7 linked regions of the Oryctolagus cuniculus genome follow. The main gene of each other region encodes a partner of the protein of the gene in region 6 in a complex. Links are inferred from orthologs where the notes say so. Each region holds a gene or a part of one and is shown on either strand. Other genes may lie near its edges.

Region 1 (4,226 bases), on a different chromosome or scaffold from region 6:
TCGTAGGGCTCGGCGGCCATCAGCAGGTACTGCCAGCGCCGGTCCGGGGGCTCGATCCTCTGCTCGTAGGCCGACATGAAGCGGTGCCGGGGGGTGATGCCCTCGGCGATCTCGGGGTAGTCGATCTGCGGGCGGGCAGTGTCAGGGGCCCCCAGCCCCCACTGCCCCCCGCCCCCGCAGCCCCCACCCGGCCCCGCCCCCGCGGCCCCCCCCCCGACCCCGCGGCCCCGCCCACCTGGAAGAGCAGGCTCTGCTGGCCCATCTCCGTGTCCCGCTGCTTGGTCACTGCAACACCAGGGCCGGTGAGGGGCCCCCCCGCAGCCCCACGTCCCGCCCAGGGCGGCAGGTGAGGCCCAGGTCCCAGCTCAGAGGGCCGGCCCAGGGCTGCACGCCACAGCCCCGCCTGCCCCTCCGTGCCCAGGACCCCGCCTGCCCACAGCCCCACGGCCTCGCCTGTCCCCGCCTGCCCCTCCCTGCCCAGGGCCTCGCCTGTCCCCGCCTGCCCCCCCCCCCCCGCCCAGGGCTGGTGTCGGGCGGCCCCGCCCCCTCACCTTTGTAGCCAGGGCGTCCGATCTTCACGAACTTCTTCACCTCCACCTTGACCTTCTCGGGCGCGGGCTGGGCGGGCGCCTCCTTGGCCTCCTTGGCTGCGCGCCGGGCCCTGGGGCGGGGCAGACGGGCGCTGTGGTCCTCCACACCAGGCCAAGGCCACGGGCGCAGGTGCAGGAGCCCCCCTGCCCGGCCTTGGGCTCCCGCGGGGGGGGTGAGGGGCGGGGCCCTGCGGCTGGGGGGCGGGTCAAGGGGCCCTCCCCCGTGTCACAGCCGGGGGGCGCGGGGGGCACTCACAAGTTGGTCTGATGCTTCTTCCCTTGAGTGTGTGCGAGGTAGCTGCCCTGCGTGGAGGAGGCGGGACATGAGGCCGGGGGCGGGGCCAGGCCGGTGGGCGGGGTAGCGGCAGGCGGGGTGGGGGAGGACCAGGCCGAACAGTGGACAGGGCGGGAGGGGGGGACCAAGCCGGCCGGGGGGTGGGGCAGCGGCAGGCGGGGGTCAGGCCGGGGGCGGGGGGATCAGGCCGGCTGGGGGCGGGGCCAGGCCGGTGGCAGGCAGGAGCGGGGGACCAGGCCGGCCAGTGGACAGGGCGGGAAGGGGGGGGATCAGGCCGGCCGGTGGAGGGGGGGGGCCAGGCCGGCCGGTGGGCGGGGCGGGGGCGAGGGGTTCAGGCCGGCCGGTGGGCGGGGCGGGGGCAGGCAGGGGCGGGGGCAGGGTACCAGGCCGGCCAGTACCTCGTTGTTGTGCAGGGTCAGGCACAGCTTGCACTCGTAGGAGCCCAGGTGGTTCTTCATGAAGTAGGGGTCCTGGGGGAGAGCGGCGCGGGGCGTCAGGGGCGTCAGGGGCGTCGGGGGCGTCGGGCGCGTCGGGGGCGTCGGGGGCGCCCCGCGGGGGGGCGGGCGGGCGGCCCTACCTTGTTGATGTCGATGGTCTCCAGGGCCAGCTGCCGCAGGCGCTCGCGGCGGTCCCGGTTGCTCTCGGAGGAGGAGGCCACGCCCCCACTCCCGGTCTTGCCGCCGGGGCGGTGCTGGAAGTCCATGGTGCCGGCCTGCGGACCTCAGCGCCGGAGAAGCCTGCGGAGCCCAGACCGGGGGGGGCCCTCAGGACGCGGCGGGGGCCGGAGACCCCAGGAGGCAGCCCCCAGCCCCTCCCGGGCGCACCCACGCGGGCTCTCCCGTGTCAGCCGCCGGGCCCAGCCGCGGGCGTCGGGGAGAACGGGGGCGCGGACGACCGCCTGGCGCCCCCCCGCCGTCCACTCCCCAATGCCCCTAAGCCAGGGCTGGGCCTCCCCGTGGACGGCAGGGGCCGCTCGGGCCCCATTCGGGCACTGGCCCGAGTCCTGGCTGCCGGCCCGGGCCCCGCACCTGCTCTGACCCGGCCCGGCCCGGCCCGGCCTCCGGGGACTGGACCGGCGGGAGGAGACCCCGCCCCTGCGACCCCGACTTCCGGGCACGGCGCGGGCGGCCCGGCTGACCCCAGGGCGCTACCGGGCCCGCCCGCGGTCCACGCACGAGCCGCCCCCGGCTGACCCCAGGGCGACCCGGGCCCGCCCGCGGTCCACGCACGAGCCCTGGCGGCCCCACAGCCCCTCCATCGGGACGCGAACCCAGGACCTCAGGGCTGGGGGAGGGGGAACCACGCGAAGGGACAGTCGGACAGCGGACCGAGGGGAAGACGCGGCCCCGGGCACGCAGGCTTGCGGGAGGGAAATCTAAGACGCAGCCGCATCGCCGTCCGCACCCGGGACGCCCCGCAGCCCCCCGGGCGCCCGCGACCGACCCCCACGACGACAAAGGCGCCAGCGGGGGCGGCCTCGGGGGTCCCGGCGGCTTTTGGCGGGAACGCCGGCACGCACCCCCGCGCGCGGCCCCGCGGCCCGGGCCCGCCCCGCCGAGCAGCCGAAGGCCCGCGGCCGCTCCCCGGACCCCGGAGCCCGCCCCGGACGGACGCGAGACCCCCGCGACCCCCGCGACGCCCGCCGCGGAGTTCCGGAGGGCCGGGGTCGCCGTGGGGCCCGCCGCCCGCCCCGGCCCCTCCCTCCCGCGCCCCCAGCCCACCCTGGGCGCCCCGGGGCCCCGATGGCCCCCGCGCCTACTTCGTGTGGGTCGCGCCCCGCGTCGCAGGCCTCCGCCGTCCGCCTCAGGAGCCGCCGCCACGACGTCGCAGTGCGCACGCGCGGCGCGGGCGCTCGCAGCACTTCCGGAGGGAGGACGGGCCCTCGAGTGTGCGCATGCGCGTGCCCGAGGCGCGCCTGCGCACAACGCGCTCCGCGCGCGCACCCGCGTCGGCTCTTGGGGGCGGGGGCGGGAACCGGTAACGCCCCGTCCGCCCGCGCTCGGCGGTCCTTCGATCCTGCTTGCGCCTCAGACCCACTTTATTCCGCGGCTGTGTCGCGGCTGCCCGGCGTGTACCCACGCCCCAGCACGCCGCGGTCGCAGCGCGCAAGACTCGCCCGTGGCGCGCAGGCGCAATGGCGCTTCCGGGGCTCCGACCTGGGATCTTTCTGGCGCGAGCGGGGACGGCGGCCGAGAGGGCTCAGAGCTAGCAGCGCGCGTTCCCGGTCCCGGGCAGCGCCGGCGCCATGCGCTACAACGAGAAGGAGCTGCAGGCGCTGTCCCGGCAGCCGGCCGAGATGGCGGCTGAGCTGGGCATGCGGGGCCCCAAGAAGGGCAGCGGTGAGCGGGCGCGGGCGCGGGCGGGGGCGCGGGGGCGCGGGGGCGCGCGGCCGCCCTGAGCCCGCTGTGTGCCCGCAGTGCTGAAGCGGCGCCTGGTGAAGCTGGTGGTGAACTTCCTCTTCTACTTCCGCACGGACGAGGCCGAGGTGGGCGCGGGGCGCGGGGCGCGGGGGCGGGGCGCGGCGCGGGGCGCGCGGGCGCGGGGCGGCCCCGCTCACGGCGCGTGTGCCCGCAGCCCGTCGGAGCCCTCTTGCTGGAGCGCTGCCGGGTCGCCCAGGAGGAGGCGCGGAGCTTCTCCATCGGTGAGTGCGCGGGCCGGGCGGGGCGGCGCGGGCGCGGGGCGGGCGCGGGCACCCACAGCGGCCGCTCCCGCAGGCTTCCTGGAGGACCCGGAGAGGAAGTACGTGTTCGAGTGCGGCAGCGAGGAGCAGTGCCGGCAGTGGACGGAGGCGCTGCGCAGGGCCAGGTGGGGCCGGGGCGGCGGGGGCGGCGGGGGCGGCGGGCGCGGCGGGCGCGGCGGGCGCGACGGGGGCGGCGGGCGCGGCGGGCGCGGCGGGGGCGGCGGCCTGACCCCGCGGGCACGGCCTCTCCCGCAGCTACGAGGTCATGCGGAGGAGCCTCATCTTCTACCGGAATGAGATCCAGAAGATGACGGGCAAGGTGCGGGGGGCGCGTGCGGGGCGGCCGGGCGGGCGGGGCTCCCGGCCCCGGGCCCCGGGTCACCGCGTCTCCCCGCCCGCCGCCCTAGGACCCCCTGGAGCAGTTCGGGATCTCCGCGGAGGCCCGCTTCCAGATCAGCAGCCCGCCCAGCGACGGGCGGCCGGCGGGCACCGGGCCCGGGCCCGGGCTGGACGCGCTGGACTGACCCCGGCCCGGCCGAGCCTGCGTGGGAGGGGTTCCTGGCGGAGGCGGGGGCTGCCCTCTGGGGGTCCCCGCCCTGCGAGGCCCCTCCCCGCGGCACCGGCCGTCCTGGACCGGCTGAATGTAGAGCGGAGCTAGACC
Region 2 (4,148 bases), on a different chromosome or scaffold from region 6:
CCAGCAGACGCTCTGGGCTCCTGGCTTCAGCCTGACCCAGCCCTAGCTGTTGTGGTCAGTTGGGAAGTGAACCAGCGAATGAAGATCTCGCTCTCTTTCAAATAAATAAAAAATAAATCTTAAAAATATATATACATACGTATATGACAAAGGACTGGTATCCAGGATATACAGAATTGTAACAACCCAGTAATAAAAAGAAACCATCAAAATAAACAACAGATTCAAACATAACATCACAACAGATGTGCAAATAGCTAATAAGCATTAGTCATTAGAAAAATACAAACTAAAACTTAAGGAAACACTACCATATACCCACTAAAATCCATAAAATTAAGCAGATTGACAACAACAAATGCTGGTGAGGAAGTGGAGCAATTGGAAGTCTAACATATTGCTATTAGAAGTTTAAAATGGTACAAGCACTTTGAAAAATGGTAGGGCATTTCTTATGAAGTTAAACATATCCTTACCCTATGTAGAATTCTGCATGTCTGCTCCTAAGTATACCCTATGTAGGATTCTGCATGTCTACTCCTAAGTATTTACCCAAGAAAAATCAAAGCTATGTATACAGAGATTTGCATAAGGATGTTCAAAACAGCTTTAAACAAAACATATCATTTTAAAACATACAATTGGACTACTATCCTACAATTAAATTTTTTTTTTTAAATACTGGGGGTGGGCGGCACTCAGCAGGTTAACCCTTTACTTGGGACAGCTTCCTATATTCCGTAACAGAGTGCAGGTTGTTGTACCAGCTGCTCTACTTCTGATCCAGCTCTCTGCTAATGCACCTAGGAAAACAACCCAAGATGGCCAGAGTGTTTGGGGCCCCTGTCACCCACGTGTGAGACCCAGACAGAATCCCTGGCTCCTGGTTTCAGTTGGCCCAGCCTGGGCTGTTGTGGCACTTAGAAAGCGAATCAGCAGTTGGGAGGCACTTCTCTGTGTTGCTCTGCCTTGTTTTAAATAAACAAATCTTTAAAGTAACAAAAAGCAAAACTAAATGTTGATGAATCTCAGGAGCATGCTAAGAAATCTTAAGCAAACATAAAAAAGACATATAGTCTTTTTTTATTCCAAAGAATAAATTCTACTGCAGGCAAAACTACAGTGGAAGAAACACATTGCTTTGGTGGATGTGGAGCTAAAAGTTGACTTGAGATAGCTTAAGGGAACTTCTTGAGGTTTTGGTATTTTACCATGGCAGGGGTTTGGGTTACACTAGTGTATAATTTTTCCACTCTCAGGAAATACACACTGAACTTCACTTAAGAAAGTGAAGTTTGTCTCCCTGGTTTTGGCTAGGGTGACAGGATAAGGATGATAATGCCACCAACTGAGATGCAGAAATAAATACAATGAGCATACACAAACTAATTAGTCAAACCATTTTCTTGAGGCAAGACACAAGAGGGTTTGTATCTACCTAGTACCTAAGACACAGAACGGGATTCAGCACACTCGTTAAAAATTACAGGGAAATTCTGCTAGAACATGTGCTATTTTCAAATGAGACAAACTGAATCTTCAGTGACAAAAAAAAAAAAAAAAAAAAAAAAAAAAAATTCATTAAGATTCAAACGAGCAGGTATGGAGAAATATAAAAATACACTGAGTTCTGAGACTGTTATACAAAGTTATAATTCAAATAAGAATGAACATTCACATTAAATGTCTTCTCTACAAACTCCACCCATAAAGTATAACTGTATTTCAAACATACTAGATGTTAACCACTTATCTGTCTTCAGCACTAAACAAAAAGTTCCAAGGCAGGGATTCTTGCCTTTAAGAAAATTCTATTATCGGCACACAGTAACTGTAACAGGTGCCCCATAACTGGTCAGCACTGCCAGTCTCGACTTGGGAGGAAAGAAACTCGTCAAATACTTCCAACCGCTAGCTTAGTACCAGAAACCACCGCTGGGCTGCAGGCTCAGCCTCCATGTAAAGCACCAAAATCTAACCTATCTGCAAGCAGTTTGGAACTAATTACAAACATCAATAAACAATCCTTTAGTAGGCTCAACTAAGCAACACAATCGCAGAAAGGAAACCGGAGGAATTACCAGCTATGTGTAACCAGCCACAATCAAAAAGTATTGGCTTTTGCCTCATAGTGGGAGATTTTTCTGATCAAAAGTCTAGGGAGCATCGAGAGAGACCAAAAACTTTAAAATCACAACTTGCAAACTAGTTCCTCTCTGATCTAAAACATGCTGCAAGTAGGCTTCCTTATTTCCATGATAAACTCCGTCTTCAGACCCACGGGAGCTCCATGCGCACAATGAGAATGGGTAACTAACGCGAGACCAAGCCACCTTCAAGGCCCCCAAGGCAGCAGGTGACAAGACGCAGCTCGGTCTTCAAGCCCGCCTCTTGGAAGACAGGCGAGGCTGAAGAACGATCGATCACGACCCGGAGCCGCGGCCAAGATGGGGCGCGCGCGGCGGGCGCCGCAGGCCGTTAGCAGGCCGCGCGCACGCGGCTTTCCCGCCTCCGGCCTCGGGACCGCTCAGCTTCCCGAGCCCGGCCCGAACCCTTACGGCTCAGCCCCCGCCTCGCTCGGCCACCTCCTCACCTCACGAGCTTCATCGTAGCGGCGCAATCGTCCTTTCTGCTCGATAACGCAGAGAATGCAACTACCGAGGACCGGCTAGGCGTATGAATGGCCGGAAACGCCTACTCCACGGGCTCCGGACGTAGCGAGCGCGCGGAGCACTGTGGACGTGCGGCGGAAACGCCGAGGCCTTGCTGGGCCACTTTGCCTTCCGGCCAAGGGGAGCGCGACTGCGACCCCTCGCTGCCGGAGGTATGCATTGCAGAGGCTGAGGGCGTGACTGTCTGTCTAAGGAGAGGGCGATTTGAACAGTTAAATCCAATTAGCAGTCGCCATCACGCTTCGGCACGGCGGGGCGCGTTGGCGAAGCACCAAATACAACTTCCTCCGTGAACAAAGAGCGGTTTTGAGAGAAACACAGGTTATTGCGAATTCTGGTCCAACACCAAGAACCTTATTTAGCATTACTGATGAATCTGAAGAAAATTGCAGAATTATGTTTCCGAGACACAGTTGTCTGTTTTCCTCGTACTCAACGTCTCAGTAACATTCAACACACTTCAGTTTTGAAATACCTTCTACCTTTGTTTCCCGGGCCAAGCACTCTGGGTTTCTCCCTAACCCACTAGCTGTTCTGTCTAGGCCTCTGAGTCTTTACACGTGTCAGGATGCTTCAGGGCTTACAGCTGTAGTCCTTTTTAGGAAAACTTTCTCCTTTAGCCTGGGCGATCTCCTCCAAAACTATGGTTTTAATTTGTAAATCTAGATTGAACTTCATCCATGATCACCAGAACTCTAGGATGTTGTAAGGCAATGCTCATCAAACTTTAATGTGCACAGGACAGACCCAAGGAATTTTTTAAATAAAGATTTATTTATTTTGAAAATCAGAGTTAACAGAGAAAGAGGGAGAGTCAGAGATCTTCCAACCATACGTTTTTCCCCAAGTGGCTGCAGCAGCCAAGGCAGAGCCAGGCTGAAGCCAGGAGCCCAGAGCTTCCTCCAGGTCTCCTACAAGGGTGCAGAGGCCCAAGCACTTAGGCCCTCTTCCGCTGCTTTCCCAGGTGCCTTAGCAGGGAGCTGGATCAGAAGTGGAGCAAGCCGGGACTTGAACTGGCACCCATGTGGGATGCTGGTGTTGTAGAGGCGGCTTTACCCGCTATGTCGCACCACCAGCCCCATTGAGGAAATTTGAAGATGAAAATTCTGGTTCAGTTGTTGTAGGGCCTGAAATTCTGCATTTCCAGAAGCCTTCAGTTGAAGATTTCCCTAGTCCATGGATCACAACTTGAGTAGCAAAGCTATGAGGCATATTTGTGAGCAGTCCTCACAACCTCTTCTACTCCCCTTTCTTCTCGAGAGTTCTCAGTATTCTTCTGGAGACGCACGTGGTCCTCAGGAAGCTGACTCTACCCTTTATGTCAATGATCAGGTTCCTTTACTTGTCCACATTAGGACTGATCCGACCAGACCTTTGCATAGAATGTTCTTCCCTTTTGAATGTAATAGATTGGTAGTAGTTCCTGGAGCTACTGGGAATGTCCATAGAACCAGAAAAACCAGCCTAAACATCGAA
Region 3 (2,985 bases), on a different chromosome or scaffold from region 6:
CTGCAGCAGGGCCTGTGAACCAGTTCCTGCCAAATTCATAAGGGGCTGAGTGCTATAATAGAAACTAAGATTCAAAATGAGAAGGAACTACCAATCAGACCAAAGGTGTGCGATGGAGCTACCAGTGTTCCCACCTGAGCAAGAGCGGCTACGTGAAAAGCAAACCAAGCACAGAAGGTCGCCTGGCGTGTCTGCACACAAAACAGGAAGCTGACTAACCAAAGGTAGAAACAATCCTAACGTCCGTCCCAAGGAATGGAGAAACAAAGCGTGGTCTCTCAACAGGATATTATTGAGCCTTAAAACAGAGTGCAGTACTGATACATGCTATAACATGGATGAACCTAGAAAACATTATGCTTAGTGAAGGAAGCCAGACACAAAACGCCACTGCTGTGTGATTCCTGCTCTGTGGAGCATCCCAAACAGGCAAATCCATAGACACAGAAAGCAGATGGGTGGCTTCCAGGGACAGGGAGGATAGGGGTAATGGCACGTTATTGCTTAATAGGTATTAGGTTTTATTTGGGGACAATGTGAATGCTTCAAAACTAGACACAGGTGGTGTTTGCACAACATGGTGAATATAAGTGCCACTGAATTGCTTTGAATTGGTTAACTTTATGTTATCTGCATTTCACATCAATACAAAGAATTCCAAGGGAAAAAAGTATGTGGAAAAATATCTCAACCAAAAAAAGAAAAAGACAAGACATTTAAAGCTGTTTTCAAACAGGGTTTAGAGAGGGAGCTGGTTGTTCTTAAGAATCCCATCAGGCACTGGCGTTGTAGTGCAGTGGTAAGCTGGCTCCTGTGATGCTGGCATCTCAGATGAGCAACAGTTTTGAGCTGCAGCTGCTTCACTTCCGATCCAGTTCTCTGCTAAATGCGCCCAGCAAAGCAGTGAAAGATAGCCTGAGTACTTGGGTCCCCAAACCCATGTGGGAGACCTGGATGGAGTCCCTGGCTCCTGGCTTCAGCCTGGCCCAGCCCTGGCTGTTGTGGCCATTTGGGGAGTAAACCAGCAGATGGAAGATCTCTGTGTCTCTCCCTCCCTTCCTCTGTAACACTGCCTTTCAAATAAATAAAATTAATACTTAAAAAAAAAAGAATCCCATCACATTCACCTCCAGCTGTCTGAACCTAGTTAAACCACACTTCACTGCAGTTCTACCTGCTAACTGGAAGTCTTAGAATGCTGGGTTCTCAACATTGAAGACAAAGACTAGGCCTCTAGAATTGTCTGTAATTTTCCTTTTCTGGCAATTTCATCTCAAGCTGGGGGGGCTATGGGCCCCATGGCCAATTTATGAACGAAAATTCAGGACACGTTCTCTGTTAAGTTCCAAGTATATTTCCAGGGATGATGGATTGTACTAGAAAATGCAGGGTATCTGCCAATGAAACCACAGCCTTCTCAAGGACTCCACTACTCAAGGGATTTTTTAAAAATCAGCTCTAGAGATTTCATATGGAGAAGTAATGGCGTAGCTGAATCTGACTGCATTTTAGAAACACATTTCATTTCCAGATCTACCGAGCGGCTGAACTGGCTTCAGTGACGCCTACGCTCACTGAGATTTGAGGACTCCCGCTCCCGGGAGCTACGGGACTTCTTCTGTCTGTGAGATCGATCTCGGCTCCGACTTCTACTCCGATGGCTCCACCCATCCGAATGCCCATTGTGCCAGCTAGAACACGCGTCTGAGCTTCGTCCTTTGTCCCTATCCCTGTTCCTTTCTTCTCTGGCCTCTCTCCTGTCGGAGGACCTGTGCTCATGCTTGGATTTCTCCTTCTTCAGCTCCCTGGCCAGGTCCTCAACTCCACCGCGGGGGACAGTTCTGACCTCAGGGGAGACAGGGTAGTGCTTCCGTGCTTCCCTGGACTCCGACTTCGGCACCTTCTCGGAGCCCTTGGTGCTGCTTGTCTTAGGGCCAGGCTCATCCTTTTCCTTTATTGTCTTGCTTCTGGGCAAGGAAGAGGGAGATGGTTGCTCGACCAGTACTGTCCGGTCACTCTTCTCTTTCTCTTTCTCTTTCCGTCTTTTCTTTTTTTCCATTTTGTCTGGAGAAGAAGGGCGACAATCGGTAACAAAAGGGAAATAGAACTCCCTAAAGCCATGTCTTTCCTCTCCGTGTACGTGACATCCAGCAAAGGTAGACCAGTTTACCAATGCCTGCCTGCCGGGAGGGGAGCCCATGGGCAAGGAAAATAGGCTGGGCAGCAGCGTGAAGCCGTCACCCTGTGCTTCTGGGAAAGTGCTGCGGGGAAGCAACTTCGATGTCTGTCACCCGCAACGTCAAGTTGCTGGGCACGGCCATTCCCACTCCAGTCTCTCTCTGAAAACCACATGTCCAGATGCAGTCACAGTGGACTAGGGGTGAGGAGTTCAACGTGTCGATTCTGGGGAACACAATTCAACCCAGAACAGGAGTCTTCTGCTGACACCTCCCCTTCCCCAATTAAAATAAGGTCCCCCCACCTCTCCTTCGCATACTTATGACCCGATTATCAACCATCAATGAACTCTAGGAGGAACAGATGCTAAGACTGCCAAGTTTCTCTTGGGTTTGAATGTTTTACCTTTTTTGTGCTTTTTTATGGGTTTCTCTTCTTCAGAATCCTCAGATGAACTCGGTGAGGGGGTATTAACACCACAGCCCATCGCCTGGAGCTCTCTGGTCACATCGTCCATGTCTTCTGAGACTTTAGGAACCCGATAATTAGCCACATGATCTACCCGGATAGTTCTTCCTTTGATCTAAGAAAAACAGGCAGCGTCTCAAAAAGGCAGGCTTCATTTCAAACTGTCCAGCTGTTTGAACGCCATCTATTACCCTCTCTCTAATTCTATTACGGCGCAAACCGCCACAGCAGACCCACTCAACCAGTCTGAATCACTGCAGGTGTGCCTAGATGGTAACCCATTCAGCCTTTAGGGCAGCGGCAGCCAGCTGGGCCCGGGACAGTTGTACTAGCGTTCTC
Region 4 (4,299 bases), on a different chromosome or scaffold from region 6:
AGATGCGGTCTCCTGCCACCCTCTGGACTCGGCTCCAGGCCAGCAAGGGAGGAAACCCTGGCCAGGCACGGGGGCCGAACGCCTCTCCCCACACTACCAAAGTCTGGTCTTCTCCCAGCCTCTGCGCCCACGCTTTACCTTGGGGGCAGAATGGCATTCAAAATTTCTTCTGCCTGCTTTGTAGGATCTGGGACACAGGAAGTTGAGGGGAGCTTGGTCTTGGTTATCTGTGGGATTGGACTGGAGGGTCCCGGCTGCTGGGGGCTGGCTTTCAGTGGCCGAGCCTGGGAAGAGACGATTCAGGCCTTCAGCCCCCTGGACGCCTCCGGGTCTTGCGCACCCCCTCCCCTACCCCCAGCCCGTGAAGAGTCCCTGGTCCCAACGCAATGCGCGGACCAGTGTTTCTGGAGGAAGCGGTCAGGCGTCTGCGCTCCCACCTGTAGCGGTGGGGACATCGCGACCTGACCTGTCCTTGAACCCGACTACCGGGAGAGGAATCCCTACCGTCTGTCTCCCCGCGACCAGGTCTAACCTGCGGCGCTCACACCCAGCGACATCTGGACCACCCGGACCACTCGCTCCCTCTCCGCCCGTCCCAGGGCCCGTCCCCGGACTCCGGACTCTCGCCGCGGGGATCTGCCTGGCCCGGTCCCCCGAGGCCCGTCCTCACTTTGGGGCTCCGTTTCTCCGTGTTCCGGCTCACCAACACCGGGGTGTCGTACTTGAGCAGAGAGTCGGCCGGGGGGATCATGGCGGCGATGGGGGCCTGGTTTGCGGTCACCATGGAAACCGCCCCCCCTCCCGGCCGGGGCGGGGCCTCGGGTGGGCGTGGCGCGGCGCGCGGACGCGTCCCGCGCAGCCCTGGCGCTCGGCCCCGGCACTCGGCGTCTTAATCTTGCTGCCAGCCGGGTCGCCCGGGAGACGGGGGTTCGAGTCCCTGCGCTGCGTATAGCGCGCAACTTGCGTGATTGGGTAGATCCCCCTTCGCTGAGCCCCAAGATTGTCACCTCAGTGAAGGGCTGGAGACCATTCCCCAAAAGAGGGTCTCTGGAATCCCCAGGGCTTTAAAAAGTATTCCTCAAGGTTAAATGGCGAACTGACATAGCAGGATTTGTCCACGGGCTACTATGATTGCATTTTTGTATTTCCAAGGCCAAATGGAATCACGGTTGGCGCGCAGTTTCGTCGCCTTCCTCTACCGTGTCGGTCCGGGCTTTTTCCACAAAGCGGTATATGGTTCGTGATAACGTTACTAATAGCTACGTAATGCCCAGTGATTGGCTAAGGAGCCCCCTACAGCTGTACACTGAGGTTGCCCACATGCTCTGTAGTTACGCGGTGAAGAATTAACTTGAGAGGTTCGCTTTTCCCCAGTAGTTTGCTTTCCAAACTTAAAACTCCCGCCCTTCGGGCCGGCTCCCTGCAGCCCCGCCCACGGGGGGGGCGCCGTCACATGTTCAGCGCTCCGCCGCGAGGGTTGCTGGGAGAGCTCACACCCCGGAAGCGGAAGTCCAGAGGTCAAGCTCGTCATTTCCTTCGGAGAGAGTGGCTCAACGGACCTCTTTTCTTTTGCCCGACCCGAGTCGCAGAATGAAAGAGGTGAAGAGCGAGCGGGAGCGGAGGAGCCGGCGGAGGCACCGGGAGGGGGACGTGGCGGCGGCGGCGGCGGCGGTGGTGGTGAAGCAGGAGCGCCTCAGCCCGGAAGCCGAGCCGCCCGCCCCCCGCCGGCCGGACCTCGGCGCTACTCCGTCCCCGCCGGCCGGCGAGCCGGGCCGCCCTGGCCACCGCGGGAGCAGAGCCCGGGGAGAGAGCCGGTAAGCAGAGAACAGCCGGGGTGGACCTTGGGTCGGACTCATTGAGAAAAGAGCACAGGGCCGGCATCAGAAGTGGGTTCTGAATGCCGAGCCCAGCAGCGGGAGGCGGTGGGAGTGGCCGGGTCGCGCTCGGGTAAAGGCGTGTGTGCTCCGGTGCTGGTTACTTGCGTGACAGCTGGGGTCGAGCTGATGCCTGTGGGTCAGGGCCTCGCCCCCTCTTTCGTGTGTCGCCAGCACTTCGCGGAGCGCGTGGCCCAGCGGCTAGCACTCATCGTCCGTTAAGTTGAAAGATTTTCCCCCCGTCTGCCCGCGCAGGGAGTGCGGGCGTTGTCTTCGCCCTTATCCACCCCACGCGAGTATAAGCGATCTGCTAGGTGCACTGTTTGTTCATCGTTCAGCGTACTTTTACTGAATGCCTATAGGGTACTAAAGAGTGCACTAGGGACCTGGGCCACACGGGTGAGGCTTTCGTGAAATTGGACGAGCTTGAGCCCCAGGAAGACTGCCAACATGCAAACAAAACAGTTTCCGATGGCAACAGGTCTCAGGGCTAGGTCGGCCCAGTAAGGTGATCGTGAGAGACTGGAAGGAAGCGGGGATAGAACTCTTTGAAAGAGGTGCCGTTTGAGCAGAGACCTGAGTGATCTGGCCGCCGAGGAAACGTGCAAGGAACGTGAGCTAGAAGTCGTGATCGTGGAGGAGGAGGAGGATGGTAGCGATGAGGTGGGCCGGGGAGGAGGTGCCTCCCGTGAATTGTGGTGATGAGAGTGACTTCTGCATGGTGGTGGGCGAACAGCCAAGGGACAGACCTGGACAGGAGAGTCTTCAAAGGGTAGGGGATGGAGAGCCGTGTTCCCTGAGTGAGGAGGATCCGAGGCTCCGAGGCAGCGGCGTAGGCGGGAGAGTAGGTGAGGAACGGGAAGCCCCCCGGCTCCTTTGGTGTGATCAGCAGTCTTTCACAAATGTGTTTGTGTTAGTAGGTAAGCCCCATACCAGAAGCTAGCTTATGTGGGGGAAGGGAAACTGAGATAAAATCCTGTGTGTACCATGCCCTGAAAGGTCTCCAGCCAAAAAGAAAAACAAGTCCTCGGGGAGAAGAAGCAAGTCTCCTCGGAGCAAGAGAAGTCGGAGTCCTCACCACTCGGCAGTCAAAGTGAAGCAGGTAAGTGGGCTGGGGTGTGTTGAGGTGGGGTCTTAGGCCAGCGCCTCTTCCTGCCACCGCAGCCAGGGAAACAGCCAGCCAGAAGCACACCCACAGAGACAGCACCTACACCTGCAGCGGGCTTTTCTGAAAACTGAGTGTGTGAGTTTGTTTTGGTTGTTGGTAAATTTCTGCTGGTTTTCTTAAGCTTTTTTATTTTGAGATAATTACTGATTTAGATCAGATTTAATAAAGACAGGTGTTTCTCCCAATGGAAGCATGGTACAGAAGTGTAGTCACAATATCACAATCAAAATATTGGCATAAGTTACAAAACGTTTTTCCTGCCACCTGGACATGGCATGTTGTCCTGTTATAGCACACCCACTTCTTTCCCACCTTCTCCCTTCCATAAGTCCTGGCAACTTTTAATCTGTTGGCTTAATTTTGTCATGTGTCAAGAATGTTACAGGCCGGCGTCACGGCTCACTTGGCTAATCCTCCGCCTGCGGCACTCGGTACACCGGGTTCTAGTCCCGGTCAGGGCCCCGGATTCTGTCCTGGTTGCCCCTCTTCCAGGCCAGCTCTCTGCTGTGGCCCGGGAGTGCAGTGGAGGATGGCCCAAGTGCTTGGGCCCTGCACCCGCATGGGAGACCAGGAGAAGCACCTGGTTCCTGCTTTCGGATCAGCGCGGTGTAGCGGCCATTAGAGGGTGAACCAACGGCAAAAGAAGACCTTTCTCTCTGTCTCTCTTACTGTCCACTCTGCCTGTCAAAAAAAAAAAAAAGTTACATAAGCGGCATCACACACCATGTAACCTTTGGGACTGGCTTTTTTCACTCAGCAAAGTTCTTTGGCATGTAGGTTGTTGCATTGATCAGTTCATTCCTTCTTCTTGAGTGGTATCTGTAGTATTAGTTTAGCCGTTTGTCCATTAAAGAACATCTAGGTTTCCAGTTTTTGACTCTTACACATAAAACTGCTGTATAAACATTTGTGAACAGGTTTTATGTGAACATAAGATTTCATTTCTTTGGGATAAATGCCCAGGAGTATAGTATATAGTATAGTATAGCATATATAGTATATATGCTATATATTATACTATAGTATAGTATAGTAGTTGCATGTTTAATTTTTAAAGAAATTGTTTATTTTCCATAGTGGCTGTGTTCGTTTGCTAGGACTGCCATAACGAAATACAGACTAGGTCGCTTAAATGTTAGAAACTTATTTTCTCGTTATTCTGAAGTCTAGAATTTGAAGAATAAGGTGTCAAATAAGGTGTCAGGTTTAGTTTCACCTGTGTGGGGGTAGGGAACTGCTTTTTGGCTTGCAGGTGGT
Region 5 (4,164 bases), on a different chromosome or scaffold from region 6:
TTTTATTTGTTTTTATATTTCTCAAATATTGCTGATAACACCATACTGACCTTGATTGGCAGGATACTGTTTATGGCCATATGAATCCGTTGCATTCTGGGGGCCTTTCTCTTTAAGATTTTCTTTCGAGGTTGGCATATGCAACACAGGACCATACTCATTACGAAGCTTGATTGCCATTTTTCGTTTGTGACTATTTAAAAATTATAAACATAAGAATGTATCCTTAAATATGTAAAATACACTCACAAATTTAAGTGTTTACAGATAGCTAGGAAACATAATTTAAGTTTGCCCAGTGACGTATAAGTTTCTAGTAAGATTTTAAACAATATTTCAAAAAAACCTAAAATTTCCAAGTGCATTTCCACATCATATGTAGTTACTTTAATTCACAATTTATCACATGGCAGGCATTAAATCCAAGTAATATTTTAATTTGTCACTTAATAAATAAAACATTTCATGATTAGTTATCAAAGGTCAAACTGATTTAAAGATATATAGAAACTAATATACCCTTAAAAATTCTTTCAAGGCCTACACTTATTTCCTTCATATATCTAAATATAAAAACAGTAAAAATTACCTCAGTAACCTTAAACAGATGTATCTAGAAAGGTTAGTTGGAACTAATCAAAGTACTAAATTAGTTCAGTATTTTTAAAAAGAAATGCACTTATATTACTTTTAAGAAAACCTCATCTTGTAAATGAAATAGAAATATTTGTTTCAGGAATTAAGTTTTAAAAAGAAGGGCAAAGGACAAAGAAGGAACATTGCACATAATGCAATCCCAGACTGGAGCTGGAGATGTAGAACCAAAACTATGCCCCCACTCAACAATCTTCACCATACTAACGAGAAAAGATGGGAGTAGAAGTACTGGCCAGGTACAATTTCAGCTCAGCAAGGCTCTGAGAGCAGCGGGAAGCTGAAAGCACATACAAAGTGATTGATTATAAAATAAAATACCTGAACGGGACTCTCCTAATTACCGGACATTTGTAAAATGCAATTAATTAATGGGATTCTTTACCATAAAGGCCAAAAAAAAAGAAAGGTTAAACCAGTTAAAATTATGCCCAAAGAGCTTTCATTAAAGAGACAGTCCATGAGCACTACCTGAGTACTACATGAGTAAAACCAAGTATTACTAAGTAATGTTTAAAGGTCTCCCTTTCCCTGATCTCTTCTCCCAGTATTAGAATTTTAACAATTTTAGCAAATGAAAGAAAACTATGCCTACCTCTCTTCATCCAAAGGCACAGGTTTTCCATTGTCAGCTACAAACATGTCATGGGTCCTCTTCAAGGACCTGAACACAAGCGTGTGCACAGAATGCTTCTGCACTTCCTAGAGAAAGGGAGAGAGAGTGTGTGTGTGTAATTACACACTTAACCTATAAATTACCCACAGCGTAACCTGAATTACAGTCAAACTCATCAGACGCTTTACGTGTGTGAGAATGTCGAACGCTCCATACCACTCACCACAGCTACTCCTGCAGCAAGCTACAAGGGGTCAAGTTCATCGCCAGAGCCTCGGCTAGAGCAGCTGAGTGAGGTGAGAGTACCCCCTTACTCAGGAAATACCTACTAGGCTCGCTCCACCTCTCTGTCAGCACGGTGCTAAAGCTGACAACAGAATGATAGGCAGCACGCTCCTTGTACTCAGGAGGAAGAAGACAAGCAAAACTAGGAAAGCAAGTCCACACTTGGGTAAGCGCTATAAAGACAAGAGGCCAAGGCAGAGAACACAGGAGGAACCAGATATGACGGCGAAAGAGCGCTCTGCAGCGAAGTCCGAACAGACAGGAGGGAACACAGGTAAGCGCAGCCCAGGCAGCGGCACATGCCCAGTGCAAAGGTGACCAAGGACTGAAATAATGCCCGGGGTGCAGGCTGGGTGACAGGGTGGGATGCGGAGTAAGCCGAGGTTGCCAAGGCAGGTAAAGTCCAGTTAGGAAAGGCCTTTTTTAGACCATTCCAACAGTCTCGAGTTTTGTCCTATTGTCACAGGGACAGGAGAGGGGTTTAAGCCAGAAAACCATGGCCAACTTATGTCTTGCATAGAACAATTTATAGGAGGGCAAAAAAAGAAGAAAGTCAGCTGGAAGCCAGTGCGTCGCTCCTGGCTAAAGATAACGTCCGTCTGAATTAAGATGACTTGCAGCGGATATGGACCAGAGAGGATGGCGTCAGGCAATGTTCGCAGTAAGACGAGCAAGGCCTGCTAATGTTCAAACCAGGTGGGAAAAACACGTAAGGCATCAAGAACGGCAGGCTTTCCTGGCGTGGGCTGAAACACGAGGTGAATTGACCGCCAGAGTCTTTTAGGTGGCAGAATTAGTGCCACTATGTACGCCGGCAGCGACAACCGGCCAGGGGTCGGACATCAACAGGAGCCCCGCCTCCGAGGTCAGAGCCCGGATTCCGGGGGTCAGACAAGCACTGCAGAAATCATCTACGGCTCCCCGCCGGACGGAGCTTCAGACTCGGGTTTCCATGCACCCTAGACCCTTTGCGCAAAGCACCTCCCTAAGAAGAGACCACTTGGCCTTGGCCACACAGCTGCCCTGGCAGCCTCTTCCCTCTCCAGCCTCCCAGCACGCTCCATCCCCCCAGCGCGCTGCCAAATAAAACATTCCAGAGGCAAACGCCTCCTGAGCGCCCGACCATCACTTTACCTCGACCATGATGATGCCGTGTACCCCAGCTCTCCTGCAGAACAGACACCTATCACCCGCGCAGAGAGCGCCGCCACAACTGGGCAGCCACTTCCGGAATCGGACGGCCTGGCGCCGGATATGACGTAGAGCGCTGCGCGCGCGCGCCGCTCGCTCGGCCTTTCGGGATCAGGGGCGGGGGGCGGGCCTTCCTGCTCGCGCCTGGGGCCGAGTCTGAACGGACAGGGCTGGGACGTGTCGCAGAGCGTTGTGAACGAGTCAAAATACTGTTTTCTGCCAAATTGAATCAGTTTTACAGTGCGTTAGGGGCCCTGGTCCGTTGTGCTGAATTCCTTGGAAGCTGGATGGCTTTTAGTCGGAAATGTTAAGAAATCAGCGCGGGGGACGGGGGGCGTTCTGGAGAGCGACCCTGCCTGGGCTCTGAGGTCCTGCCCTAACACGGTCTCACTGACTTAGGGGTCGCCTTCCGCGTTTGGGTCGGCTGATTGCAGCGCCTGGCTGGATGCGCTTAGAGCCTGGTGCGTTCTCAGCGCTTGGAAATAGTTGCGCTTACAGAATCCAGCGGCGCTGGTGGGAAGGCATGCTGCAGAACCGTGGTTTCAGGTTGAGAAATTTGGACATGTCTGCAGAATAACTCTTTTACCGCATTCAGCACAGCCCCACATTTATTTTGGGCTACATAGTGTTTTAGTTTCTCATAAACGACCTACCACTTGTCTACTGCCTAGTTGTTGGTGAATATGGGTTCAGTAATGCCACGATGCAGCTACAAAATTGATGTAGTTGAGTGTTTGCAAACAGATCTACAGTCATCTCGGTGGCCCCGGTTCTCCCTTAACCCTCATCAGTTTCACTGATCCTGTCCCCAGCGCATACTGCGGGTCTGGGGTGCAGTGGGGCGCGTGGGAGGAGTCTCCAGCAAGAACAGGGCAAAGTGGTTCAACAGTCTCCTGAAATTCACGAAGTTTTAATTTTATTTAAAACATTAAGGTTATGTTTTTACTTGAAAATACCATCATCTCAGAATTTGAATGCGAGTTTGACTTCAGATTTTATTTTCTGTTAAAGTGGCCCAGGATAGGACACTTTGCAAGGAAATGCTGTAGAGTACGTATACATAGGGAATAAAAATATAACTCACCTATGAATAGTAATTACTATGGAAAAGAATGTTTTTAAATGACAAACTAGAAATGTAAGCAAGACTCCAATGTATCCGACAATACAAGAACTGTCTAGTTGGACTTGTAAGCTTGTTCGATAATCCTGGAGACATTTAATTTATAAACCCAGACTCTTATAAAATATTGTAGTGATTGAAGCAAATTGAACTACTTTTTACTCTTTTTAAAGCACTGTTGAATATACAGAATTATGTACTGTGCTTGAAGCTTTATGGTCTACAAAGCTCGAGTGACCCTCTTACCTAGTTCAGAGATACATGGATTATGTGTAGTGCGGCTAAATTTTGTGTT
Region 6 (4,215 bases):
GCCGTGGCCGCAGTTTGGCCCCGGGGACACGCACGTCAACTCCTTTTCGCCGCCCGCCCCTCCTCTCTGCATCCCGGGGCTGTTGGGGTAAAACCAGGCCGCCTTGGTGTGTCCCCCGGCCCCCGCTCTGTCACCAGCAGCCCTTCCTCTCCTGCCCAGAGATCCCCCTTCCCGACAGTGGAGGCACGTGGCTCCGTGCCTGCAGCCTCAGCCGACCTGCCCCGGTGGGCTCTCCGGTTACAGGGAGCAGAAAGAACCTTCCCTCAGGCCGGGAGGGGTTCTGCCTGAGTGGGCTGATGTGCCAGAGAGAAGGGCACCGCTTTTTTTTTTTTTTTTCCCTGTGCTGTTGTGACTTCCCTGGGACTGGCAGCAGGAGCCGTGGGCTGGTGACCTAGTGGGTGGGAGGGAGGGGTGTGAGCCAGGCTCCCCCGGCCCGGTGCTTTGCTCTGCCCCCAACCCTCACCTTCTGGGCTGTGCTCCCGGCTCCCAGGTATTTCTCACTGAGGACAGTTAAATGCAGCTGGGTGGAGAAAGGATCTGAGGGTGTGTGTGTGTGCGCGCGTGTGGTGAGACCCTTTCGTGAGTCTTCCTGTCACTCAGCACAAGGACTCACACAGGCCCTGGAGACGCAGAGCTGGTGGCACAGGTGGAAAGTGAAATGCAGCCGATGGGGCAGCGCAGTCAAACGTGGAAGCTGGGCAGGCAGGGTCCCCTGCTCGCCTCTCCGTGAGCTCGGCAGGGGATGCCAGCGGAGTGGGGCTGACCAAGACCAAAAAAGATAACAAGTGATGTCGCTGAAGATCCGCTCTTCCGGTCACCTTTATTGGGCGCCCCTTGCACGCCAGGGGCTGCAGCCGTTGGATCAAGCCCCGACTCGTCTTTTTCAGGCGGATGTAAGTGCAAAGACCAAGACTTGAACAAGATGGAGCAGATTTGAACGCATTACGAGAACTCCAGGAAAGCCGGAGAGGGCGGGCCTGGAAGATGTGAAAGGGGCTTGGGTGGCAGCGAGCGCTCCACTCCGTCCGTGCGGGCCCGGGCAGACAATCGGCCCGACCTTCCGCTCCCGCCGCGGAGCGAGTCCCTCGGGACCCCCTGGGAACGCAGGCACTCAGGCCTCTCACGCTTGGCCCGGGAGTCGAGCCAGAGGCTGGAAGCCTGCGCTCGGGCGGGCGAGACGCAGAAAGCACTCCCTGGGGCCGGGACTCGCCGCCCGCGCGGCCCCGCTCCGGGCGCCGCAGCCCAGGTCTGCGCTCCGCGTCGGAGCCGCGGCCTCAGTGTACTACGACTCCCAGAAGGCTCGGCGGCCTCAGTACTACGACTCCCAGAAGGCTCGGCGGCCGGCCGGCGAGTCACGTGACAAGCCGAGCTCCCTCCGCCGCCGAGAGGACGTGGCGTGCGGCGCTGCCGGAAGTTCCGGGAAGTAGGCCCCGAGGGCGGCCGGAGCTTCCGGGCTGGTCGCGCGCCTTCCTGTGGCCAAGATGGCGGCCGAGCATCCCGAGCCTCCCAAAGGCGAATTGCAGTTGCCGCCGCCGCCGCCTCCCGGGCACTATGGCGCCTGGGCTGCCCAGGAGCTCCAGGCCAAGTTGGCAGAGATAGGCGCTCCGATCCAGGGTGAGGGCTTGGAGGGGCCGGGAGGGCACCGAGGGTCCGTGGAGACGCGGAGCCCGGTTACCCGGGAGACTGGGGGCGGGGGCGGGCCCGCGCCGCTGACCCGAGCCTCGCCCGCAGGGAGTCGCGAGGAGCTGGTGGAGCGGCTGCAGAGCTACACGCGCCAGGTGAGTGCCGGCGGCCGAGGGGGCCCGCCCGGCGTCGTGGTGGCCGGCCCCGGCGCGGAGGAGTCTCTGGCTCCCTGGTGGGCCGCCCTGGAGCCTCGCTCTCTCTCTCGCAGACGGGCATCGTGCTGAACCGGCCGGTCTTGAGAGGGGAAGATGGGGACAAAGCCGCGCCCCCTCCCATGTCGGCACAGGTAAGGGGGCGCCCCCTTCTCTCGCCTGCGTCGGGCTGCCGTGCGGAGGTGGGAGCTCCGGGTCCGGCCCGCTTCCCGGCGTCCGCGCCTTCGAGTTCTGGCCCCGGGGGTTCCGCTTGAATGCGGCCCGCCCCGCGTGCTGCCGTGTCGACCTCTTGGCCCGCCCCGCGTGCTGCCGTGTCGCTGTGCGAGACTGAACGCGCGGGTGGACTCTGCAGAGCTCGCAGCGCCTGGCACGCCGGTTGTCTCCCGTCCGTCACTTATGCAGGATTTGATGCTTTTCCTCCAGAGAGTGCCTCTGACCCATGGCTCTGCACTCCTTCAGCGGCCTTTGTCTCGCTCTTTCTTTTTTTTGACAGGCAGAGTGGACAGTGAGAGAGAGACAGAGAGAAAGGTCTTCCTTTGCCGTTGGTTCACCCTCCAATGGCCGCCGCGGCCGGCACACCGCGCTGATCCGATGGCAGGAGCCAGGTGCTTCTCCTGGTCTCCCATGGGGTGCAGGGCCCAAGCACCTGGGCCATCCTCCACTGCCCTCCCTGGCCACAGCAGAGAGCTGGCCTGGAAGAGGGGCAACCGGGACAGAATCCGGCGCCCCGACCAGGACTAGAACCCGGGGTGCCGTTGCTGCAGGTGGAGGATTAGCCTAGTGAGCCGTGGCTCTTTTTAAAAGTGTCTCTTTTTAAAAGGTTTATTTATCTACTTGGAAGGCAGAGTTAGAGAGACGGAGGTCTTCCATCCGCTGGTTCACTCCACAAATAACTGCAGTGACTGGGGCTGGGCCAGGCTGAAGCCAGGAGCCAGGAGCTTCCTCTGGGTCTCCCACGTGGGTGCAGGGGCCCAAGCACTTGGGCCATCCTCCACTGCTTTCCCAGGAGCACTAGAGGGAGCTGGATCGGAAGTGGAGCAGCCAGTGCTCAAACCAGCTCCTGTAGGGGATGCCGGCACTGCAGACGCTGGCTTAACCCGCTGTGTCCAGCGCTGGTCCCTCAAGTGTCCTGGAGTCGTGTGGAGCAGCTGTGTTCGTGGTATTTTTCCGTGGAGACAGTCGGTAGCTTTCTTTGGATGGTATCCCAGAGAACTTCCCGTTCTCTTCCAGTGCACAGAGCAGTCTCTTACAGAGCAAGAAATCACGTCTCTGTCTTTTTCCTTGATTTTGAATATTTTTTTACTTATTTATTTGAGAGGAAGGTTTATAGACAGAGACCGAGAGAAAGGTCTTCCATCCGCTGGTTCACTCCCCACGAGCCTGCACCCATACGGGCTGCTGGCATCACAGGCGGAGGCTTAGCCCACTGTGTCCCAGCACCGACCCCAGGATCTCGTCTGACTTGGAATCCCAGTGCCTGGCTCAGAGCAGGCTCCCAGCGGATGCTGGCAGAGGGCGTGGGCGAATGCCTCCTGGCTCACGATCGCATTTTCTCCACAGCTCTCTGGGATTCCCATGCCACCGCCACCCATGGGGCTCCCTCCTCTGCAGCCCCCTCCACCCCCCCCTCCACCCCCACCAGGCCTTGGCCTTGGCTTTCCCATGGCCCACCCACCAAATTTGGGGCCCCCGCCTCCTCTCCGCGTGGGTGAGCCGGTGGCGCTGTCGGAAGAAGAGCGGCTGAAGCTGGCGCAGCAGCAGGCGGCACTGCTGATGCAGCAAGAGGAGCGCGCCAAGCAGGTAGGGCGGGGGAGCCTGGGCCTGGCCTCGTGGGTCCCTGCGGAGAGAGTGGGCTCGGGGAGTTGGCGCCGGGACCAGAGGCAGAACCAGGCCGCAGGCTGGCGGCAGAGCTGGGGCAGGCGGGCCGTGGGGAGTTGTGCTGGTGTGAGCTTGTTTTCTCTCTTAAGCAGGGAGATCATTCACTGAAGGAGCACGAGCTCTTGGAGCAGCAGAAGCGGGTAATGCCCCCCTTCCTGACCTTTGACCTCACGGTCCAGGCCTTGGCTGTCACTTAACCGTGCTTAGTGTGCAGGACGAGAGGCACCGTTCGCGTTTTCTTTGGAGGCTGCCTCATCCCCAGCTAAATTCCAGCATCTCTTGAAGAATTCCGTTGTTCCTCAGCCCACAGGTTGGCAAACCACAACCTGTGGCCTGTGTCTGTCTGAGCTGTGAGCTGAAAATTTTTTTCCTATTTGTAAAGGGTTGTTGTAAGAAAAGCCCAAATCAAGAATGTCTAGCAAAGTCCTCACAACAGCCCGTGGAGGCTGATGCCCACTGGTCCACCACTAGTCCACACGACGTCCCCTTAGGTGCCTTGGAA
Region 7 (3,500 bases), on a different chromosome or scaffold from region 6:
TGAACTTTTAAGATCCCTTATATCAATCTAAGTAATATGATATAATTTACATAAAATAACAGAGGGAATTATAACAAAGTACTAAAATTTGTTATGGTAATGAAGTTAGGTATGAATTTTGATTTTTTTTCAACTAGGCTTTAATATATTTTCTACAATGTGCATATAATTAAATAGCTACATGTTTTTAAAAGGATCCAGGTTTACCCACCCTTTCTCTCATGAGAGCAAGGTGTCCACCTGCAGGGGAGGCAGGCTAACCAATGGGCAAGCAGCAGTGCTGGTGCTCCAGGCTTTACCAACTGGGAGACCCTACAGGGCCTGGCCCCTCAGCTCGGTAAATGGGGTACCAGGGATTCCCCTCGAAGGCAGAATAGCACCTGACACACAACAGACTCTCTGTACGGGGTTCTTGTTGGAATCTGTGGTAACTGGGAGGCACAGGGATAGACAGCCAGGAAGCGGCACGGAGACTGGGGGTCACGGTTGCAGAAACCTGGGAAATCATTCAGCTGGGTCTGTAGCGGAGGCTCGCATGTGCTGACTCCACGTCCAGCCTGAGTTCTCAACCAGGCCTTGCAAATGTGCATGTGCCTAGATCGGGCTGGAGAGTCGCTGGCAGCACACACGGTGAGGGAGAGTCCACTTGTGAGCAGGAGGCCTGGAAGGCCTCTGTACGCATGGGAAACTTGCACTTCTCAGAATCTGTCTCGCTCTAAAGCGTTTATGCTTAAGACAAGCCCCCTGTTCTCCCATTCGCTCCCAGTCACGTTCATCTTACTACTGTTCTGAAGCCACTCAGCCCCTTTTGGTCTGGAGGCCAAAAAGAGGCTCACTTGTAACTATAAAAGGCAGCAAAATGCTCTCCCCAGCAGGACACTGTGATGCGAAGCCACCTCTGAGGCATTCAGGGGAGAGGCACACAGGACTCTGGGGAGGCTGGCAAGACAGTGCCAGGCTGAGCTCACCAAAGGTGTCGGCGTAGATCTTGGCAAAGGAGCCCAGCGTGAAGCAGATGCTGTACTGGGAGCTGGAGAAGCAGACGTTGCCCAGGAGCGGGGAGAGGATCAGGTTCTCGTCAGTGGAATACATGCTGCAACAGACACAGGGTAAGCGTGCCGCAGGCCCTGACCTCTGCCACGGGGGACGGGCAGGGATGCCTACACAGCCACTCGCCAGCCCTCAGGAGGAGCTTGCATAAGACGCTCAGTCTGGCCAACAGCCTGGTCCAAGGAAGTGACATGATGGAGCTGTTCCCTAACTCTCAGTAACAAGCTGGCTTCTCAGAGCCGGGAACGTTCCGCACAACCTTGGAGGAGCTAACCACATCAGACAGACAAGGGCAAATGTGGAGGACAGAGACAAAGACCTTGGAAGACGGGAAATGAATCTAAAGTGATAAGAAATGAATATATTTGAGAGAAATCTCAACTTCACAAACACAAACATAAGAGAAAGAGCGAGAGAGACACAGAGGTAATTTATCCTCTACTCTTCTTTGTCCTGTAGTCTTCGGCTTTCTTTTAAACATGAATGCTAAACCGCAAGCACCTCAAAAGGTCACGAGCATTTGTAAGAAAATCAGCTGTACACAGGGGTCACACCCACAACTCTATCCTAACGGGCACATTATTTTATGGGATCCTCTCACTTGGAAACGAAAGCATTAGCTTATAAAGAACGGCCCCTATCCATCCCACTGCACCCCCCATTCTGCTCCCCAGTGGCAAGCGGCTTCAATCCATTTTATAGCTGCCTGGAGTACTTACCTCCATATCCCTAAATACTGTTTTGCTGCTTTCTGATTTTGAGGTTTCAAACATGCCCTCTTGATTTTCTATCCTGGTAGATCAGGATTTAGTTCCATCCCACCCCCAGCCTTCCTTTTAAAAAGAAGTGCTATTACTTCATCTTTTGGACCCATGACGCTGGGCTGGGCTCCAGCCATTCCCAACCACTCCAGGGATGAGGAGGAGACACTCCCAGTAGGCAGCAGTGCCGCAGGCTGGGGCAGCTGCGGGCAGCGGAGCTGTCACCGGCCCCAGCCGTCAGACAAGCTCCCAGTGGCCGTGTCCTCGCCCACTTAGGGGTCTCAGGAGTCGTTCAGTACATACTTCAGCCTGCAGATAAGACTGGCTTTATTTAATTTCTTGTAACATCCCTCTAGGCAAATATTACCATCATTCCATTTTTTATAGAAATGGAAACTGAGCTTATGTAATTTGCCAGACTCTACAAGAGAGCTTAACTTATTTTCCCTACTTCATGTAGTTGGTACGCAGCTAGGATGAGACCAATCCTAGAGCTCAAGGTATTGCCCATGACAATAAATTAAAGATGCACGAAGGTCACAACTGGCTAAGGCACAGGTACTGAGGTCAAGGTCGTGGAGGCAATCTCTGTAAAGACCTGAGATGCGCCTCCAGTCTTGCCCAACAAGCTCATCCACACACGTCAAGAAGTAAATCAGAGTTGCTCCCAAAGGTATTCAAGGGTAAAATTAAGATTTATAAAAACCAGCGTCCCTGAGGACCGGAAATCCACTCCCAGCAGTTTCATACCTTATTAATCCATTGACCTCATCCACAATGTGGCGCAGCTTGTAATAGGCATCGGTTGGAGGCAGCTTCAGCTCCAGGATCAGCCGGTCAATCTTGTTGATGCACACGGTGACCGCCAGCCTCTCCTGCACCGCGTGCTTGATCAGCCGCTCAGTGTTCAGCATCACCTGAGAAACACAGGCTCTGAAGGTGGTGACACAGCAAAGAGGACAGAAAGTCCAGAGCAGAGCCAAAAGGGCACCGCTTCCAAACATGAAGCAAGAGGGCAAACGAGAACCTGGGGAAACACACTGCTGGGCAGCAGCAGACAGCATCTCGCCAAAGGCAGATGCGGGCACTTTCAGAGGACACCCTGTAGGACTAAGAAATGAATAAACACACTCTCAGTGCTAGAGAAAGGACAAGGCAGGCCAGCAACAACTGTGGTGCTGGATGGGAACTGGGGGATGTTAGGATGGACAAATGATTTTTAAAAAACATTTATGTATACATTTATTTGCTTGTTTTAATTGAAAGGCAGAGGGACTGAGAGAGAGAGAAACAGAGAGCACTTCCATCTACTGATTCCCTTCCCAGATGCCGGCGATAGCCAGGAGCGGAACTCAATCTGAGTCTCCCATGTGGCTGGCAGGGACCCGAGTGCTTGGCCATCACCACTGCCTCCCAGCGTGCACATGCGTAGGTTGTTAAATCAGGAGTGGAGCTAGAACTCAAAGTCAAGCACTCTGAAACAGGTTGCAGGCATCTCAAGCAGTATCTTAACCACATGCCAAATGCCTGCCCGTGGACAAATGATTTTGAATACACACGTGTAGAAATAGTTACATATATCCGTATGCATGTGTGCATGGATATTATCTAGTTGTACTCTGTGAAAGAACCTACAGGCACAGGCAATGTACCCCGGTGGCAATGAGCACACCCAGATACTTGTTTCTA

The links.
Region 1: SF3B2 (region 6) and SF3A2 share a complex: the UniProt entries of both Homo sapiens proteins name them as parts of the 17S U2 SnRNP complex. The link is inferred for Oryctolagus cuniculus from reciprocal best matches to the Homo sapiens genes SF3B2 and SF3A2.
Region 2: SF3B2 (region 6) and SNRPD1 share a complex: the UniProt entries of both Homo sapiens proteins name them as parts of the minor spliceosome. The link is inferred for Oryctolagus cuniculus from reciprocal best matches to the Homo sapiens genes SF3B2 and SNRPD1.
Region 3: SF3B2 (region 6) and RBMX2 share a complex: the UniProt entries of both Homo sapiens proteins name them as parts of the minor spliceosome. The link is inferred for Oryctolagus cuniculus from reciprocal best matches to the Homo sapiens genes SF3B2 and RBMX2.
Region 4: SF3B2 (region 6) and SNIP1 share a complex: the UniProt entries of both Homo sapiens proteins name them as parts of the minor spliceosome. The link is inferred for Oryctolagus cuniculus from reciprocal best matches to the Homo sapiens genes SF3B2 and SNIP1.
Region 5: SF3B2 (region 6) and PLRG1 share a complex: the UniProt entries of both Homo sapiens proteins name them as parts of the minor spliceosome. The link is inferred for Oryctolagus cuniculus from reciprocal best matches to the Homo sapiens genes SF3B2 and PLRG1.
Region 7: SF3B2 (region 6) and EFTUD2 share a complex: the UniProt entries of both Homo sapiens proteins name them as parts of the minor spliceosome. The link is inferred for Oryctolagus cuniculus from reciprocal best matches to the Homo sapiens genes SF3B2 and EFTUD2.

What each region holds. Positions count from the first base shown.
Region 1 is NC_091447.1:59,110,152-59,114,377, reverse strand, and holds the start of SF3A2 (splicing factor 3A subunit 2), read right to left. Parts: upstream 2,801-4,226; 5' UTR 2,645-2,800; intron 2,021-2,644; exon of another isoform or gene 1,914-2,020; intron 1,623-1,913; 5' UTR 1,589-1,622; coding exon 1,463-1,588; intron 1,356-1,462; coding exon 1,284-1,355; intron 894-1,283; coding exon 847-893; intron 662-846; coding exon 552-661; intron 286-551; coding exon 236-285; intron 126-235; coding exon 1-125. Other genes in the region: PLEKHJ1 (pleckstrin homology domain-containing family J member 1), read left to right, coding at 3,131-3,224, 3,303-3,370, 3,460-3,526, 3,600-3,690, 3,821-3,884, 3,973-4,089. UniProt on the Homo sapiens protein: Component of the 17S U2 SnRNP complex of the spliceosome, a large ribonucleoprotein complex that removes introns from transcribed pre-mRNAs.
Region 2 is NC_091441.1:56,034,661-56,038,808, forward strand, and holds the start of SNRPD1 (small nuclear ribonucleoprotein Sm D1), read right to left. Parts: upstream 2,801-4,148; 5' UTR 2,608-2,800; coding exon 2,594-2,607; intron 2,508-2,593; exon of another isoform or gene 2,334-2,507; intron 1-2,333. UniProt on the Homo sapiens protein: Plays a role in pre-mRNA splicing as a core component of the spliceosomal U1, U2, U4 and U5 small nuclear ribonucleoproteins (snRNPs), the building blocks of the spliceosome.
Region 3 is NC_091453.1:108,064,832-108,067,816, reverse strand, and holds the end of RBMX2 (RNA-binding motif protein, X-linked 2), read right to left. Parts: intron 2,762-2,985; coding exon 2,584-2,761; intron 2,065-2,583; coding exon 1,556-2,064; 3' UTR 501-1,555; downstream 1-500. UniProt on the Homo sapiens protein: Involved in pre-mRNA splicing as component of the activated spliceosome. As a component of the minor spliceosome, involved in the splicing of U12-type introns in pre-mRNAs.
Region 4 is NC_091438.1:135,212,801-135,217,099, forward strand, and holds the start of SNIP1 (smad nuclear-interacting protein 1), read left to right. Parts: upstream 1-1,499; 5' UTR 1,500-1,590; coding exon 1,591-1,814; intron 1,815-2,873; coding exon 2,874-2,976; intron 2,977-4,299. Other genes in the region: DNALI1 (axonemal dynein light intermediate polypeptide 1), read right to left, coding at 139-284, 671-784. UniProt on the Homo sapiens protein: Required for pre-mRNA splicing as component of the spliceosome. As a component of the minor spliceosome, involved in the splicing of U12-type introns in pre-mRNAs. Down-regulates NF-kappa-B signaling by competing with RELA for CREBBP/EP300 binding.
Region 5 is NC_091439.1:11,052,317-11,056,480, forward strand, and holds the start of PLRG1 (pleiotropic regulator 1), read right to left. Parts: upstream 2,801-4,164; 5' UTR 2,699-2,800; coding exon 2,690-2,698; intron 1,357-2,689; coding exon 1,250-1,356; intron 935-1,249; exon of another isoform or gene 863-934; intron 194-862; coding exon 51-193; intron 1-50. UniProt on the Homo sapiens protein: Involved in pre-mRNA splicing as component of the spliceosome. Component of the PRP19-CDC5L complex that forms an integral part of the spliceosome and is required for activating pre-mRNA splicing.
Region 6 is NC_091432.1:5,766,885-5,771,099, reverse strand, and holds the start of SF3B2 (splicing factor 3B subunit 2), read left to right. Parts: upstream 1-1,415; 5' UTR 1,416-1,481; coding exon 1,482-1,614; intron 1,615-1,731; coding exon 1,732-1,778; intron 1,779-1,891; coding exon 1,892-1,969; intron 1,970-3,395; coding exon 3,396-3,635; intron 3,636-3,802; coding exon 3,803-3,853; intron 3,854-4,215. UniProt on the Homo sapiens protein: Component of the 17S U2 SnRNP complex of the spliceosome, a large ribonucleoprotein complex that removes introns from transcribed pre-mRNAs.
Region 7 is NC_091448.1:18,115,124-18,118,623, forward strand, and holds part of EFTUD2 (116 kDa U5 small nuclear ribonucleoprotein component), read right to left. Parts: intron 2,729-3,500; coding exon 2,562-2,728; intron 1,094-2,561; coding exon 969-1,093; intron 1-968. UniProt on the Homo sapiens protein: Required for pre-mRNA splicing as component of the spliceosome, including pre-catalytic, catalytic and post-catalytic spliceosomal complexes. Component of the U5 snRNP and the U4/U6-U5 tri-snRNP complex, a building block of the spliceosome.